2 linked regions of the Drosophila melanogaster genome follow. The protein of the gene in region 1 purifies or fractionates together with the protein of each later gene. This does not show direct contact. Each region holds a gene or a part of one and is shown on either strand. Other genes may lie near its edges.

Region 1 (10,433 bases):
AGCGAGTCTAGGGCGACTACGAGGCACTGCGGCTAGAACTATGAGTATGGCTAAAACTAGCTAAGCTAAGACCTGTTTTAAGACTAAAGCCCCCCGACCTAGGCCTCCAGCCCCCGGGTGTCCTTCAATGGCTCCAGGGGCTGCAGGTTGACCGTCTTGTAGCCTCGATCCCGCCGGAACCAGAGCCAGTTGTCCCCGTTGAAATAGTCCTCGATGTGCTCCAGGCTGCGGCCCTTCGTCTCCGGCTGGAAAAGGCACATAAAGGCAGTGAGCAGGAAACTGGACACGCCGAAGACCAGGAACACGCCGCGCATCTTGAGCATGGCCTGCAAAGCGGGAAACTTCTTCGCGAAGATGAACAGAGCGACGTTCATGGAGGCAAACACTCCGCCGGCAGTCCGTCCGCGTATCCTAGCCGGGAAGAGCTCGCCGATCATAATGCCGGGCATCACCATCAGAGCCGTGTTGAAGATGATGTAGCCCAAGAGACAGCCGGCACCAACGAATACGTCGTACGACATTTTCGGTTGATCGAATCTGGCATACTGATAGACACTGAGCACCAGGCAGAACAAGCCGGAGCCGATTCCCGACACTATCATGATCCTGCGGCGGCGAACGAAGATCAGGACTACGCAGAAGACCATGCAGCAGATCACCCGGACAACTGCCGTCGCAATGGCCGCCTGCTTGGAGTCGAACTCCGCTCCGAACTCCGAGATCATGTCCACGGCATAGAAGATCACGATGAACGTGCCGGAGAACATCTGCAGCAGCGAGAACACGATCACAATGACCAGCGGCTTGATGGCCACGCGCTGGCAGCACAGCTGGAAGATGTTCTCGTTCGTCTTGGTGGTCACCCGCTCCTTGGCCAGCCTCTGCTTCATATCATTCAGCTCCTTCTGCGCACTGATCTCGCTGCCCCGCAGGAACGAGAGGGCCTGCAGCGCACGCTTCTCGTGGCCATTGCGGAGTAGCCAGGCCGGAGTCTCCGGTATAAACGAGATAGACACCATGGACAGCAGGGGCAGCACGTTGGCGCACCACGCAACACTACGCCAGTACATCATGGAGCCCAGGGAGTAGACCATTAGGATGCCGCTTGAGTAGGCCACATAGGGCGCGCCGATCAGCAGACTCCGCAGATTGGGTTCCGCCGTTTCCGCAATGTACACCTTCGAGAAGGTAAAATAAAATAATGAATGAAGGCCAAAATAGTAAGTTTATATAGTAAGTCTACATTAATCCTAATCCAGCTTATCCACGTTGACCATCAATTATATAAATGATACTATTACTATTACTTTCTGATACATGACCACCTTGAACCCAGCTAGAACTTTCGCCAGCAAAACAATTTGATCTATTCGAGGGTCACGGAAGCAACATCAACATCTTAATCTGTGGGAACTCTTGGACGGCAATCATAAAATCGTAAATCACGTCAGGCGGCAAACCATTAACCATTGAAAGCGAAGCGAAAGCCGGGGGAACACGCGCCCATTCATCCAAATCCGAGCAAATCGCCCACCCGTCCGCATCCACGTTATTATAGACTAAGGTCAAGAATCCGGAACTACTACGCGTATACTGTGTGCGCCTAATGCAAATGATGCGCTGGCCATTTAAAGTCCCGGCAGCGATGACGCCGCCGACGATGATAAATATCGTTATCACTTTGGCCGCAAGATAAGTCACGGACATATCCATAAGATGCTCGTAAATAAACAGCGCCGGCTGAGACGCTGGAGACAATGGAGGCGACCAGAGGAGCCGGGACAATGGAATACGCAGCGTTAAGTGGCCAATTGACAATCTGTCCACCTGCCACGACTGCTCTTTTGTATTCCCAGTGGGGCAGCGCCATTTGGGGGAGTTCAAGGCTCCGCCGATTACGGTTAATGGGTCACTCGAACAATCCGGTTCCGCGTTGTCCGGGTGTTTCGGGTGATCCGTGTGAACGAACCCCTGGCCAGTGGCATTGAGTTACTCACCTGTCCGGGTCCACCCAGAATTCCGGTGGCGAATCCGCACAGGAAGCGTGCAAAGATCACCACCTTGATGCTCTTGGCGATCGCCAAGGTGCTCCATCCCAGGAGGAGGGGAATCACAGAGAGAATCAGGGTCCTACGGCGACCCAAATAGTCCGCCAGAGGTCCCGACAGCAGGGATCCAAATGGTGTGGCCAGGCTATGGACACTTGCTGTGGGAATGAGCAGGAATTAATAAGGTGTTTTGAGCTTGATATCACCTGTTTGAACGCACCTATCCAGGAGCCCGTCTCTACATCAATGGGTATCTCCGTGGAGTTGTTATCCATCAGCTGGGGCAACAGGATGGCCGAGAATCCAATGGGCATGCCGCATCCAGCGGAAAGTAAGAGTACAGCACAGGTGGCCAGAATCTAGAAGGGAACATAATAAAATTCGATATACAATTGGATATATAATTGATTTGTGTGCAAGCAACTATGTAATGTATTCCTGTTTCCATGTGCCATCTAGCTTTAATCGAATCTAACGATCACTTCATCATAGTTGCCCCATCCCAGCAGCAATTGGCATCAATTGAAGTTGCAATTGCATCACGGACAACATTATTTTGATTTGCGCTGATGGTGACAAACGATCCGGGATCGCTGCCCATTGATCAGTGATTGGGCATATGCCCGATCAATTTGTGACGCCAGCAAACTGGACACGGACACGGACACTGACACGGACACCCTGACTTTGAATGACACTTCGTGCCCGTTCGGTTTGTCCAATTCCAGCACCTCCGTCACATGTCCGCCACATGTTGCCCCCCAACGGAACCGTTTTCTAATCGTGTCGTGAAGAAAGTTCAATTGCGTATCTTATCATTTTGTCCTTCACGGAATATTTACTATCTGTCACGCATGAGGAGGCGAAGTCCCAGAGATGTCCGATGTTCGACAAGTTGCTGACAAGATTATAGGCCCTGCCTTGATTTGGATTTATATGGGTTGGGTTGGGTTGCGTTGGGTTGAGTTGGGTTGGTATGCCCCACTAAAAAGTTCTCTTCAGTTCTCGAAAAGATTTGATAGAACAAAGTTGCCTTAGTTTATGAATCTATAGCTTCTAAACCCACCTGGTGCATCATTCCCCTTCGGTTGGCAGCATCGTCGTCCTGCTCGTCGATGGTGGAGAGCTTCCTGGAGCTATAGCTGGCCTTCTTGCACTGGAACTCCGATCCCGGGACGACTTGATACGACATCGTGTGGGGCACAAATTTTAGATACTCGTCATCTCTAGTTGAGGAAGATTAGAAAAGAAAATGAAATATCGCATAGAAAACCGAAAAAAAACTAGGCAACCCCATCGCTGTGAACCTCAGATACAGGGTAGCATATAGTAGGGGCTGGCCTATTATCAAGGTGCTCCAACACTTTGTCCGCCTAATGGGCTTAATGACCCACAATTATTGGCAATTTCATGGATCGGCAGAGCGGGCAACCCTTTCACACGCCACTCAAATTAATCCACTTGCATTCCTCCCATTCCCCATTGCCCATTTGCGGCTCCTACCACATTTAGGTGCACTTTAATGCGAGCCACTGGCACTTGGAGAGAAGCCTTCGGTGATAAGAAGGGCAGGAATACGTCACTTTTGGAAGCAGAAACCAGCTGAGTTTGAGTTTGTTTTGGCTGCGCGATAAGAAAACATGGTAAAAACAAAAACAAAACGGCGATTTTTGAGCGTTTCGCGCTCTCGCTCATTTGCCGAATGCCTTTGTTTTGCTTGTGTTTCAACTGCTTAAATAATGTTAATGTGTTGTTTTTTTTTTTATCGCCCGCCAAGGTCAATACGGAATCACGTTTAATGAACCGAATCAAACTTTCTTCCTCTTTAGTCGATATAAATATTTTTGTGGCATAGTTTGTCCAATCAAGGGTGATAAATATGGTGCAACTCAATACAATATTTTGATATCAATAGGCCCAGAGTACGGAATACTTCCCCTTGGGCACCTAAAACTCAACCGTGGCATTGGAGGCTCCATAAGTCTGCCAGTCGTGATGGGAATGTGCAAATAAAGTAAAGCGAACTTTGGCAAAACCAAAACATTTCAAATCGTTGGACTTGAGCCATATAAAACGGCCATATCGCCGGTAAAATCGTCTGCGATTGATTAAGGAAGTGCCGAAGATAATGTCAGCGGTTCAATGTACCAAAACAAATGGGTTTTTGACACACTCCCACCAAAAACTCCAACCGATTCAAGCAAATCCTAGCTCATGACTTTAATAGGCCCATTATGATCCCTAAACTGCCTGGCAAACTTTCCAATCACTTTCAATCGGCGTGACTGAAGTCCATGTCACTATATTTGCCCATCAATATGGCAATGTGTGAATTGGAAGAGTCGCCTGCACGACTCGGCGGATTCTACAAACCGAAATGCTCACCCACTGTTGACACCACAAATTAGATAATTTATACCACATCGGCACACACAACTCGAGTAAGACAATCATTGGGCAGCCAATCGAATGGGCAGCGCGCAAATGATTTGGCTTAATTGGGGCAATATTGGGGGATCTTGGGGCGGAAGGGGTGAGGCCAGTCAGCTGGTGGCGCCATGCCAGTCAATCGGGGATTCATTTCACCACCACCGGTTGGCATGGTGGTTCCGGTCTATGCGGCGTATGCGTAATAACTAAACTGAATTTAATTGGCACGCCAGATGGCAAAGTTCAAGATAAGATATACATATTTGGTGGCACAGAGCCGAGGAATCTCGGTTAGCAGTAATTCAAACCGAAGGCGGTGGGCTTATCACCAATTAATGGGGGGTTAACCAATCCAATTAGGCAAGTTCCAGAAGTGAAATTTCATCAGTACGACAATTACGATGAGTAATTTCGAATCAATCAATATATTGAATGTAAATTCCATGCGGCAGGACTTAAAGAACCTGCGCGGCTCAATTCACTTTTAATTCAATAATGTAACGTCATTTTGCCATTGATTGATGTGCTTATCGTTGTAGAAATACTTCGAATCATCGTGAGACATCGTGATAAGGTGGCAATAAAGTCTGAGCACATTTCAAAACAATGCACATCGGTTCTATAAATTTCAGCTTAGCTGAGCCGGAAAATGTACTTTTGTTTTCAATTAACACGTGTTTTTTTTTTTCGTCTGGTAAATACCCACGTATCTAATCAGCCGTTCCCACATTAGAAACTAATATTATTTACTATCTTCGGTGAGGTAAGTGAAATCTTTCCTTTGCTCTGGGACCATTTCGTCGATCATCGGGCATTTTGGCCACAAGACCCATCGACGAAGACGTTTTTGGCTGGCAGTTAGTAATGTAGTGATAAGATTCAGAGGAACATATCTTTATTGGGAACTCGACACTTAGCTGGCACCGAACCGCACCTATCGAAGGGGCAGAAAAAGGTGGTCCTCCTTATCTCGCATCTGGGCCACTTCAGAACCTTTGGCAAAGATCACGGACCCTAGCAACACGAATGCACACAGTCCGACCGACCAACCGACCGACCGACCGAAGGAAACCGAAAACTTGTTTGCGCTGGCTGGGGTTTAAAGTCGAAGTATTCGAAGGGGGGTATTTTTAGCTGACCAGACAGTAAGTCCGCAGAAAGCAGCGATGACTGGACACCCGATGTCAGTGCTTGGCAGCACAACAAATACGCGAATACGGCAATTGTTTTGATCTGTTCCATTACCTTTCGACACTCATTTTGTCCGGCTATAATGTAGGCGAATTAGTTCAAGTTGTTTCCGAATTAATTTATGCAAATCCTTCGCTCTCTGCTGCCCTTTATGTAACCAAAGTAGTCGCGAATTAAATCGCCTGCCTCATATAATTTGTCTGATCAAAGCACTCGATCGCGTGGTCATATAGATATATCAACGATCTCCGGCAAAACACTGGGATACACTGCGAGAAAAGCGGGCCACGCGGAAAAGCGACAGTTTCATTTCATGCCAAAACGCACACTGGCTGGCAAAGCGGCTCCGCTGCGGCTTTTTATTTATGAGCAGCGATCGACGCTGACGCTGCGATCCGCAACACGCACACACGCAAAGCAAAGTAATTTCGCATTTATTTGAATTTCACCGCGCTACGACTCAGCCGACTTGCAGCACTGGCCTTTGGAACGGCGCTTTGCAGCACCGATCCGTTCAAAAAGTATTTAGAATTTTTGAAAAAAAATCAAAACTGCTGCATATTTTTATATTTTTGTTGTAAAGCATAAAATTTGAAGAAAAGTTTTGTTTTTCTCTTTTTTCGCCCAATTTTTGTGACTTTTCTCGCGACTAGCCAAGACTAGAACCAAAGTGCGGATCTGTAGACTACATTTGTAGAATCTGGCCATTTAGAATTTGAATGATACATGTTGATGTAAAACTAAATCAAATTTCAATAGTATGTGCAACAAATCTTTCTATCTCGATCCTTAAACAGAAATGTGAGCCTTTAAGATATGTTTGATGTGTAAAAATAGCCACTCATTACTCGCTGTTCATTTTGTTTGGCTTGTTTGTTTTAAAAAAATAAATACAACCACCCCTTCGTGACCACCCTGCTTAAAACCTTTCGTTCTGAATCGAAAAGAGCAACAAAAGAGAGCTGTGAAAGCGAAAGCCGTCGTGAAAATGACCCGAGGGTCCGAGGAAAGCTGAATTGACAAAGCTTTTCATTCATAACCTGGCCCAACAACAAGAATGGTGGGGATGCATCAACAAATGGTGGCACAAATGGTGCTCACAAGCTGGCGGAAATTCGGGGAAATGCGAATTGCGCACAGGATAAGCGGAGCGAGGAAATTACAGATGATATATATATATATGTATATAACATTAGAAAAAACTCCGATGGTGCGGAAACGGTGCGAAAATTGCGTGGAAACTATCCGCCATGTGACTGTTTAAAACTTTGTTATTCCCTCTTTTTTATGTGGGAGCTTTTGTAAGCGGCTTACGTTGTTCGGTGCTATCTACCAATCCACCCCCCCCCCTCCCACTCACACTCCCACTCTCCGCTTTCACTTCCATTTCCACTCCCACTTCCGTTTCCGTTCGCTAAGCTCGAACACTTGCGTAAATAAATGTATCACCCAGAGCGCTCTCGCTCTGTTTTCACAATTTTTCTCTCGGCCCCAATGCTCCAATGCTCCAGTGTTTCAGTGTCTAGGTCGGGGCAGCTTTTCCTCCTGAAGGTCGCCTGGCCAACTGTTCGATGTGTGTCTCTATTGGGGATTGGAGCCCTCCCCTCCCTTCGGTGGGCCAAACTATCGACCGCTGGAGCGGGATGCTCGCAAAGTGGGCGGGCGGCTAGTGAAAGCCAACCATAATTTTTAAGCTCTTACGTTTCACTTAACAAGTTGGAATTTTGTCAGCCCCTTAGCTGCATTTTAGTTCACACTTTTATCGCCAATCGCCCATTGTTCAGCGACTGAACACTGGACAGCACTCCCACACTCACACACAGAGCCAAATGCAAATGCATAATTAAGTGAGTTATTGTTCAAGGACACATATTCACTGCTCAGCCCACCAAAAGAATCACTGCGAAAAATTCGTAGAATTTACATGCTTTTACAACAATTTTCGATGTAGCATTATGATGTCGCATTTATCCAATAACTAGATAAGCAGATGTACCCCTAGGCGTATACTTGATTTTCGAACGCTTGTATTCCCCATCCGCCATGTGAGCCGACTTTTTGCCCAGTGACCCCAATGGCATTACCCCCACCCCCACTGCCCTTTTTTTCGCCAGTATCCCGATTTCCCATTCCATTCCATTGGGCCGTAAATCAAATTGCAAATCAAAAGCAGCGCCCAACGGCTGCCATAAACATTTATAGCAAGCGAGCGTGGGTGGAAAAGCTGCGGCGGCGGAGCTTTCCACGCTCCCGAAGCGAAAAGCGTTCGCTCTCGCTTTTCACTTTTCACTTTTCTCGCCTCCGCCTTTCAGCGGGAAATCTCCTGCTGCTGCTGCTGCTGCTTCCGTTTCACTTTCAGTTGCTTTCGAATTGTCCGCCAAATTGGACGCTCCACGTGTCCGTAATTTTCGATCCACCCACGGGAGCAGGCTTAACAACAACAAGCCCACAGAAACTGTCCGAAAAGAGCAGCCACCAAGATAGCTGGTGCCATTCGCTAACGTTGCTGTTCCTGCCGAAAAAGATCCTCGAAAAAAGTGCTGAAAAGTGAAGAGAAGTGCTGAAGAAGGGGAAAACCCTATAGCGAACTCTTAATTGTGTAAGTCCCGCGTGTATGCCATATATTGTATTTGTGTGCGATTGTGCGAGCTGTGCGTGTGTGTGTATTGCTGGGAGTGTCCTTCGAGTCCTGCCAGTAAATATTTAAAACAATTAAAGCCCTAGCCCGCGCCAAGGTCCTTCCCGCAGGACGAGTCCGTTGACAGGCCCAATTAGACGGCGTTCCGTTGCAGCCACGTCCTGCGCCCAGGATAACCGCATTGTGCGGCTAATTCGGCGTTAATGAAGTCTGATTACAGCCCATCCCGATACTCTGTCACCTGCCACAGCCAGCAGCTGGACACCGGATTCGCTGTGGCAGTGGCCATGAAAAGTCGTTGCAACTGCAACATTTTCGTAGCACACTTTTCGGGGCAAACTGCGAGTGAAAGTGAAACCTTGGGCTAAGGCGAAAGTTTGGCCGGACTTAACGTTTAAACCAGGACTCAACTCGACTTAAGACAACAGTCAAACAAAGTTTCAAGTAATTAAGAGTGCAGCTCAGCAAAAACCCCCGATAAGAGCAAAGAAAATACCCAACGAATTTAGCGGAGGTCAGGTAATATAACAATCATTCATTCGCCTTGTGGCCCGCTCATTCAAGGATTCATGGCTTGAAGTGCATCTTTTGAATCTATGCATCATTTGATTCCTGCATCCTGCACGGCTTGTAATATCTGGTTAGTTACGACGAATTCACTGCGGCAGTGAGCTGAAATTGAAACCTGATTGGAAGCGTAATTTGCATTATCTGAGAGTCGTGTCCAATAAATTTGCATATACATGCCAGGCAACCCCGCCCCCCTTCCCTACGCCTCCGCATGCAACCGCTTGGCTGGGCACCAGGTGCATCCAATTCCGGGCCGAATGGATACTTCGGACTGGGCAAATATTTGCCGCAAGTTGGCCAGGAGTGCTGCCTCCAGCCGCGTCCCTTCCGCTCCAGCCAAGCAGCCAAGCGTGGATGAACGCAAAATTAATTCCAGCCTCCACCCGCAGTGGGCCGGACTCCTGCTCCTGGCGGCACCTTCATCCCGAGTCCCGATAACTTTTTACTACTTTCGCTATCCTTTTGCTCCTGCTCCCCAAGTTTTTTCGCCCCCATCCACTTGGTGGGCATTTTCTTAGCTCTTGTGAGGCATTGTTATTGGAATGTCTAAGTCGAGTTCTTCTTATTGTCGTACAGTCGGACTTCGAGAAGTGGGATATTGGGAATTTATCTTACAAGGATTCTCTAAATTCTATCCTATCACACACATCAGAGATTCCCTTTTAAGATGAGACAATTGCTCCTAGGAAAATGTTTAATTTATGAAAATACTGTGTACTTTTTGGGAAATGCCATTATAACTTACTTTACTTCCACTTAATCGCATCAATAGTTTCGTGCAGTGAACCCTAGTTACTTTTAATGAAACTGCCCTGTGATTGCCGTGCCTTTTGTTATAGTGATTGCTGTGGCTGCTACCTCAGCATCCTTGCCCTTGGAGCGGGCTTTTCCTCCTCTTCTAGGGTCCTTCCGCCCCTCCCCCTGCTGACGCTTTTTGTTCCTTTTCCTGTGTGCCTTGTGGCTTCCTTCCTGTTCGGCATGAACGTGCGTTGTTTCCTTCGCGTTTGGGCTTTTGGCATTGGCCTGTCCGTGTTTTGTGCGTGTTTGCCAGGGCTCAAGTTCAGGTTTTCCAGTTTTTCGGCTTTTTTTTGTCCTTTTTCCCATTGCCATTTGTTATTTTATTCGCTGGGCTCGCAGCGCTTTCCCTTTTGTGTGTACATTTGAATCGCAATCAAATAACAATGAAAACATCAGCGACCTGGCTGAAAAGTGATCGGTGACATCGTGGTATCCAGTGCATTAGACTTAAAGCCACATCCTGATGGATGGCGGGATTTGGCTGTTTATTGTGACTGGGTCACCCCGGCGTATACGCAATGTGGCGTATCTGTTGACTACTACTCGACCGAGGAACTTGTTGAGGGCTTAAGTGGCAAATTGACAAGGTAATGGATTATCAGCGACCGCCTTTGAAGAGCAATAGCCATTTTAATAGATTATTTTAAAAATTCAATTTACCTCAAGCTAAATAGGGATTTAGCTGAAAATGTGGGTCATACACAACGAGTAATTGGACTATTTAAACGAAAACCTCATTGTCTAGCTGCGGGCTTAAC
Region 2 (6,096 bases), on another chromosome or scaffold:
GAACGCGAGACAACAAAATATTTATAAATATTTTATATATATTTTAAATTTAAAAAATCTCAACACACCGAATGCAAGCTGCACTTTCCTACGAAGGTGCCAGCTGCAACGCACGAAACTCAAATGTTCGTTAATTCGTTTAGTACACAACGCATTTGCAATGGTTTTTTAAATATACATTTGTGAATGTGTGAGTTCTGTCGAACTTTTAAATCGCGCTCTAAAGTTCCACTTTATTCCTTTATTTCCTAAACCTAGCTAAAACCAGATACGTAATTATGAAATTGAATGGCCTCCGTAAGTTTTAAATGTTTTTCTGTCCAGATTTGAATTGTAAGCCGAAAGATATTTGAAATTGTTTAAGCGATTTGAATTAGGGAGTGGAGAAATTTAACATTGTTAATGAATGTGGCGTGCAAAATTAAGTAATTAAAGCCCAATAATTTGAACTGTAACTAAAATCAAGAAGCGTCAACTACAAACAAACTGTACAGTAAATAACTAAAATTTAAAAGTTAAATTTCGAATAAAGCGTATTTTCATAATGTATGTAACAAACGACGAAAGTTCGGTCATTCAAAGAGCTATCCCACACACGCCTGCACACATCCCTCACCACCACCACAACCCCCACCCAAGCACAAGCCCAAACCCACATATAGCATATTATTATTTACGCATATAATTAGTACGAGTCTAAGCCGCATATAATAAGTATGTACATCCGTTGTGTATGATTACACGGAGATAACAAAGAATGTCGTCTAGACTCTAGAGATAGAAGAGCAGCAGCAGGGCAAGCTGAATGCAGCAGAAGCACGCAGAGCATAAAGAGAAAACCAATAATATTAAATGATTATGAAACGTTTCGATTGTAAGCCAACATACTTTAACTTAACGACCTAAGCAATTTTGTAAAATAAAAACACTTCAAATTAAACGATTAGTTAAGTCAAATACGAGAACGAACGGTTCGCAAGCTGAAACTATTGTCAAATTTTGGCCACGATCACAGCAGAACCCGCGCGAAAGCCAAACCAAACCAAACCAGTCACCAGCCATTGATTTGAACCTTCATTTTCCACAAGAAAACACAAACTCCATTCTGTTCAACCGGAGGGCGGCGACTTCAAGCAGCAAAAAAACCGCAATAACAAACAAACTAACAGAGAGACAAGCAACAGAAGCAAATCAAACAGAGCTATATACATAATTATATACCTATATATATATATTATATACAGATATACAGTATAACAGTACATACATGGCGCATTGGTCAAGAACAGTACGCATAATCCTTTTTACAGAGCAAGAAACTGACGAAGACGACGACGTGACGGCCAGACAAGCAACCGAAAAAGTTTTCCAAATAAAATTTTAAAACTAAACATTTTTCCTAAAAATATGCAAACATTCAAGGATTTTATTTACGTGGATCTCTAAAAAATAGTTAACAACTTATCGCTACTATTAAATGTAGCTAGCAATGCAGAGGGAGGCATTGGTTCCTCCAAAGCCGAAGGAATTCTTGAGGGCAACACGCCGCTTTTGGTCCGCCGACCAATCAGTAGCTTTCGTGACCACATTGACGTCCACATCGAGGTGCTCAATGTTGATGGAGGGCGGCAGCTTGTTATTCGCGCAGGCGAGCACCACAAAGAGCGCTTCCAGGTTGCCAGAGGAGCCCAGCAGGTGGCCATGTGCTCCCTTGGTGGAGGAGACCCTCACCTGCGGAGTGTGCGCCCCGAAAACACGACCTATAGCGTGTGACTCAATGCGATCCCCGGTGGGCGTGGAGGTTGCGTGGGCATTTACATACGTAACATCCTCTGGTGCAATCCCAGCATCTTGTATGGCCCGCTTCATGGCAAGAGTGGCTCCGGCGCCGTCATCGCTGGGCGACGTTATGTGATAGGCATCGCCGGACAAGCCGTAGCCCAGAATCTCAGCTAGAATGGGAGCTCCCCGAGCGCGGGCGTGCTCCAGTTCTTCCAGCAAGAGCACAGCTGCGCCCTCGCCCATCACGAAGCCATCCCGGGACTTGTCAAACGGTCTGGACGCAACCGCCGGATTATCGTTGAATGCGGTGCTCAGAGCCCGCAGTCTGCAAAATCCAGCGATGGAGAGCGGATCTATGCAGGCCTCACCACTCCCCGCCAGCATCAAGTCGGCATCTCCGCTGCGAATGAAGCGCATGGCATCGCCCAGGGCATGGGCACCTGTGGCGCAGGCCGTGGACACCGAGTGGTTAGGTCCTCTTAAGCCATGTCGCATGCTTATGTGACCACACGCCATACTGGGCAGCAGCCTGGGCACGAAAAAGGGGCTTACTCTGTTGTAACCTCGTTGCAGCTGGTTCCAGGCGCCATAGACCTCTGCAAGGTCGAACATGCCCATGCCCACGCACACTCCGAACCGCTCAAGCTCCTCCTCGCTCAATTGCTTGGGGCACAGCTTTCCGGTTGACAAGGCCTCCTCAGCCGCCAATACGGCAAGCTGCGTGGCGGGGCTCATCAGCTTAATGTCCGACTTGGTCAGGTGTTGATCCAGCTGTAGGTTTTCCCTCGGGATTTGAGCCGCAACCTGGCAGGGCAAGCCCTTAAACTCCGCACTCAGCCGAGAAATTGCCGACTCGCCGGCCAGGATGCGTCGCCAAGAATCCGGTCCATTGTTGCCCAGCGGAGTGACTGCGCCACTTCCCGTGACCACCACTCTGCGGCGCCCAGATGGCGTGGATAAGCTGCGGGTTTGCCTGACCAAAACAGTGCACTTTCCTAAAACTCGCATTTCGTTTACATGATCACGTAAGTGAGACCGGATAGCCGTTAAAAAATACCAAGCACACTTCGAAAATATACTAAGACTTAACATTTTATAATATACCAAAATACTTAATAAAATATTTAATACAATATATAAATAATTTATATAATAATTTGTTGACTAATACATTTTTAGTATTCGAAGTATTCTAGAGGAACATATGGAGTTCAACATTAATAATACATTTTTTAATAGAGCTTACCGTTGAAAAGCTGAATTAAATAAAACAATAGATTTTTATAATTGTTGCTCCCTTAACACAAATTAAATTTAATTGATCATTTTACCAGATTTTTTAAACGTAAAACCAAGCACACCCTTTCTCCTGTAAGATTTTCGGATTTCTACCAGGTGAATACCCCTATTGAATCCAGCAAGATGCGCACTGAGCTTGAGATCCCCTTACATAATTCTGGATCGGATCATGAATTTCGCGGGCAAAGTGGTCCTTATTACGGGAGCAAGCTCCGGAATCGGAGCTGCAACCGCCATTAAGTTTGCCAAGTACGGCGCCTGTCTGGCTCTCAATGGACGCAATGTGGAGAACCTGAAGAAGGTAGCCGCTGAGTGCAGCAAGGTGAGCCAATCACAGCCGGCCCTGGTGGTGGGCGACATTGCCAAGGAGGCGGACACCCAGAGGATTTGGTCGGAAACCCTGCAGCAGTACGGCAAATTGGATGTGCTGGTCAACAATGCCGGAATCATCGAGACGGGCACCATCGAGACGACTAGCCTGGAGCAGTACGACCGCGTCATGAACACCAACCTGAGGGCAATCTACCACCTTACTATGCTGGCCACCCCCGAGCTGGTCAAGACCAAGGGCAACATCGTGAACGTGTCCAGTGTCAATGGGATTCGCTCCTTCCCTGGCGTTCTGGCCTACAACATATCCAAAATGGGAGTGGATCAGTTCACCCGCTGTGTGGCGTTGGAGCTGGCTGCCAAGGGTGTGCGCGTGAACTGCGTGAATCCCGGCGTGACGGTCACCAATCTGCATGCCCGCGGCGGCATGGATGCGGAGACGTACAAAAAGTTCCTGGAACACTCCAAGACCACCCATGCCTTGGGTCGTCCTGGAGATGTCAAGGAGGTGGCTGCGGCCATTGCCTTCCTGGCCAGCGATGAGGCCAGCTTCAGCACTGGAGTCAGCCTGCCGGTGGACGGCGGTCGCCATGCCATGTGCCCACGCTAATCCCACAGGACATGGAACTTTTAGTTTCCCCTGCATGGATTCTTCCATGAGTAAATGCATTTAATCCGATTTTTTTAATTGTTATTTTGATTTACCTATTGTTTTGATTGTGTACATAAAACTGATTGCCATTTATTTAGTCATCTTTGTGTTCAGCACTAGAGTAGTTTATCAAAAATCAATCAAAGTCAATATTTTTGAACGTGATCCACTAACTAGGGTTAGTTAAAGTTTATCTCTTTATCTCAGTTAATTTTTAATATTGAGATTTTATTGGACAAAGTCGAGGTTCTTAATCCAAACTCTTTTTTTAGTTAGTAACTATCAGTTGCTCTTATATTTTTGTTATTTATTTAGTAAAAAGAACTAAGATCACGTTCTTGGGGATCAGGGTTATATTTCCTCGATAAGTCATCTACACATGTACGTACATTCGAATGTAGTTTGGATTTTCATTTGAAATTTCGATTCGATGGGCAGCAAGGGCAAGGCTGGTCTGGACTTCTCCGGCAAAGTGGTGCTTATCACGGGCGCAGCCTCCGGGATCGGGGCCGCCGCGGCGGAGATGTTCTCGAAGCTGGGTGCCTGCCTGGCCCTGGTGGATCGGGAGGAGGAGGGCCTCATATGTGTGATGAAACGCTGCATGAAGATGGGCCACGAGCCGTACGGCATAGCCGGAGATCTGCTCAAGCCTCCGGAGATCGAATGCATTGCGCGGAAGACCACGGAGCGCTACGAGGGCAAGCTGGATGTGCTGGTAAATGGGGCTGGCATCATGCCCACGGGAACGCTGCAGAGCACGGAACTGGCCTGCTTCACCCACGTGATGGAGGCCAATGTGCGTTCTGGGTTTTATCTGACCAAGTTGCTGCTGCCCCAGTTGCTGCAGTGTAAGGGCAGCATTGTCAACGTGTCCAGCGTCTGCGGACTTCGCGCTTTTCCCAATCTGGTGGCCTACAACATGTCCAAGGCGGCGGTGGACCAGTTTACCCGCTCCCTTGCCCTGGATCTGGGTCCCCAGGGTGTTCGGGTGAATGCGGTCAATCCGGGTGTGATTCGCACCAATCTGCAAAAGGCGGGGGGCATGGACGAGCAGAGCTACGCCGAATTTCTGGAGCACTCGAAGAAGACCCACGCCCTGGGCCGGATTGGGGAGCCAAAGGAGGTGGCGGCCGCCATTTGCTTCCTGGCCAGCGAGCTGGCCAGCTTCGTGACCGGCGTGACCCTTCCTGTGGACGGTGGCAAGCAGGTCATGTGTCCGCGCTAGTCTCTGCTAGGATATTCTATATGATCATCTGATCCTGTCCAGACGAATGTCTTTAATTTTCCCTTGTTTTCCGCCGATTAAGTCCATTACTACGAACTTGAAAATTTTAAGTATCAAATTAAATCTTGCGTACGTTGCCAATTTTTATAGGGCGGTTTTCATTTTATTTATTTCTAGCAAACTATTACATTTACATAGAATCACATCCTTGAAAAGTATTTGAAATACACGAGGTAAGCGCGCTACTTTAATTAAAAATAAAAAAATAAGATAAATGCATGCATGGATAAAAAACTCCGTTCTTATCTGGGGCACATGGCATGGCGACCGCCGTCCACGGGCAGGCTGATACCGGTGCTGAAGCTGGCCTCGTCGCTGGCCAGGAATGCAATGGCCGCAGCCACCTCCTTGACTTCGCCGGGTCGACCCAGGGCATGGGTGACCTTGGCGTGCTCGAGGAACTTGACGTAGGCTTCCTGGTCCAGTCCACCACGACGCTGCAGCTCGGTGATGATTACGCCGGGATTCACGGAGTTCACACGCACACCCTTGGGAGCTAGCTCCAGAGCCACGCACCTGGTGAACTGATCCACGGCAGCCTTGGAAACATTGTATGCTAAGACTCCGGGAAAGGAACGGATGCCGTTCACACTAGACACGTTTACAATGTTGCCCTTGGTCTTGATTAGCTCCGGTGTGACCAGGTGGGTCAGCTGGTAGAGCGACCGGACGTTGGTGTTCATAACGCGGTCAAACTGCTCCAGACTGGTGTTCTCGATGCTGCCTAGCTCCAAGATTCCGGCGTTGT

Evidence for each region. The genes of interacting proteins can lie anywhere in the genome.
Region 2: the proteins of pippin (region 1) and CG12170 purify together in Drosophila melanogaster (affinity purification with mass spectrometry, with the first as the bait; one large-scale study listed by BioGRID). This does not show direct contact.

What each region holds. Positions count from the first base shown.
Region 1 is NT_033778.4:23,812,328-23,822,760, forward strand, and holds the start of pippin (pippin), read right to left. Parts: upstream 6,001-10,433; 5' UTR 5,738-6,000; coding exon 5,724-5,737; intron 3,275-5,723; coding exon 3,115-3,274; intron 2,445-3,114; exon of another isoform or gene 2,408-2,444; coding exon 2,269-2,407; exon of another isoform or gene 2,207-2,268; coding exon 1,998-2,206; exon of another isoform or gene 1,565-1,997; intron 1,447-1,564; exon of another isoform or gene 1,341-1,446; intron 1,221-1,340; exon of another isoform or gene 1,179-1,220; coding exon 99-1,178; 3' UTR 1-98.
Region 2 is NT_033777.3:5,633,960-5,640,055, reverse strand, and holds CG12170 (uncharacterized protein), read right to left. Parts: upstream 2,823-6,096; 5' UTR 2,791-2,822; coding exon 1,474-2,790; 3' UTR 1,399-1,473; downstream 1-1,398. Other genes in the region: CG31548 (uncharacterized protein), read left to right, coding at 3,251-4,021; CG31546 (uncharacterized protein), read left to right, coding at 4,494-5,288; CG12171 (uncharacterized protein), read right to left, coding at 5,591-6,096.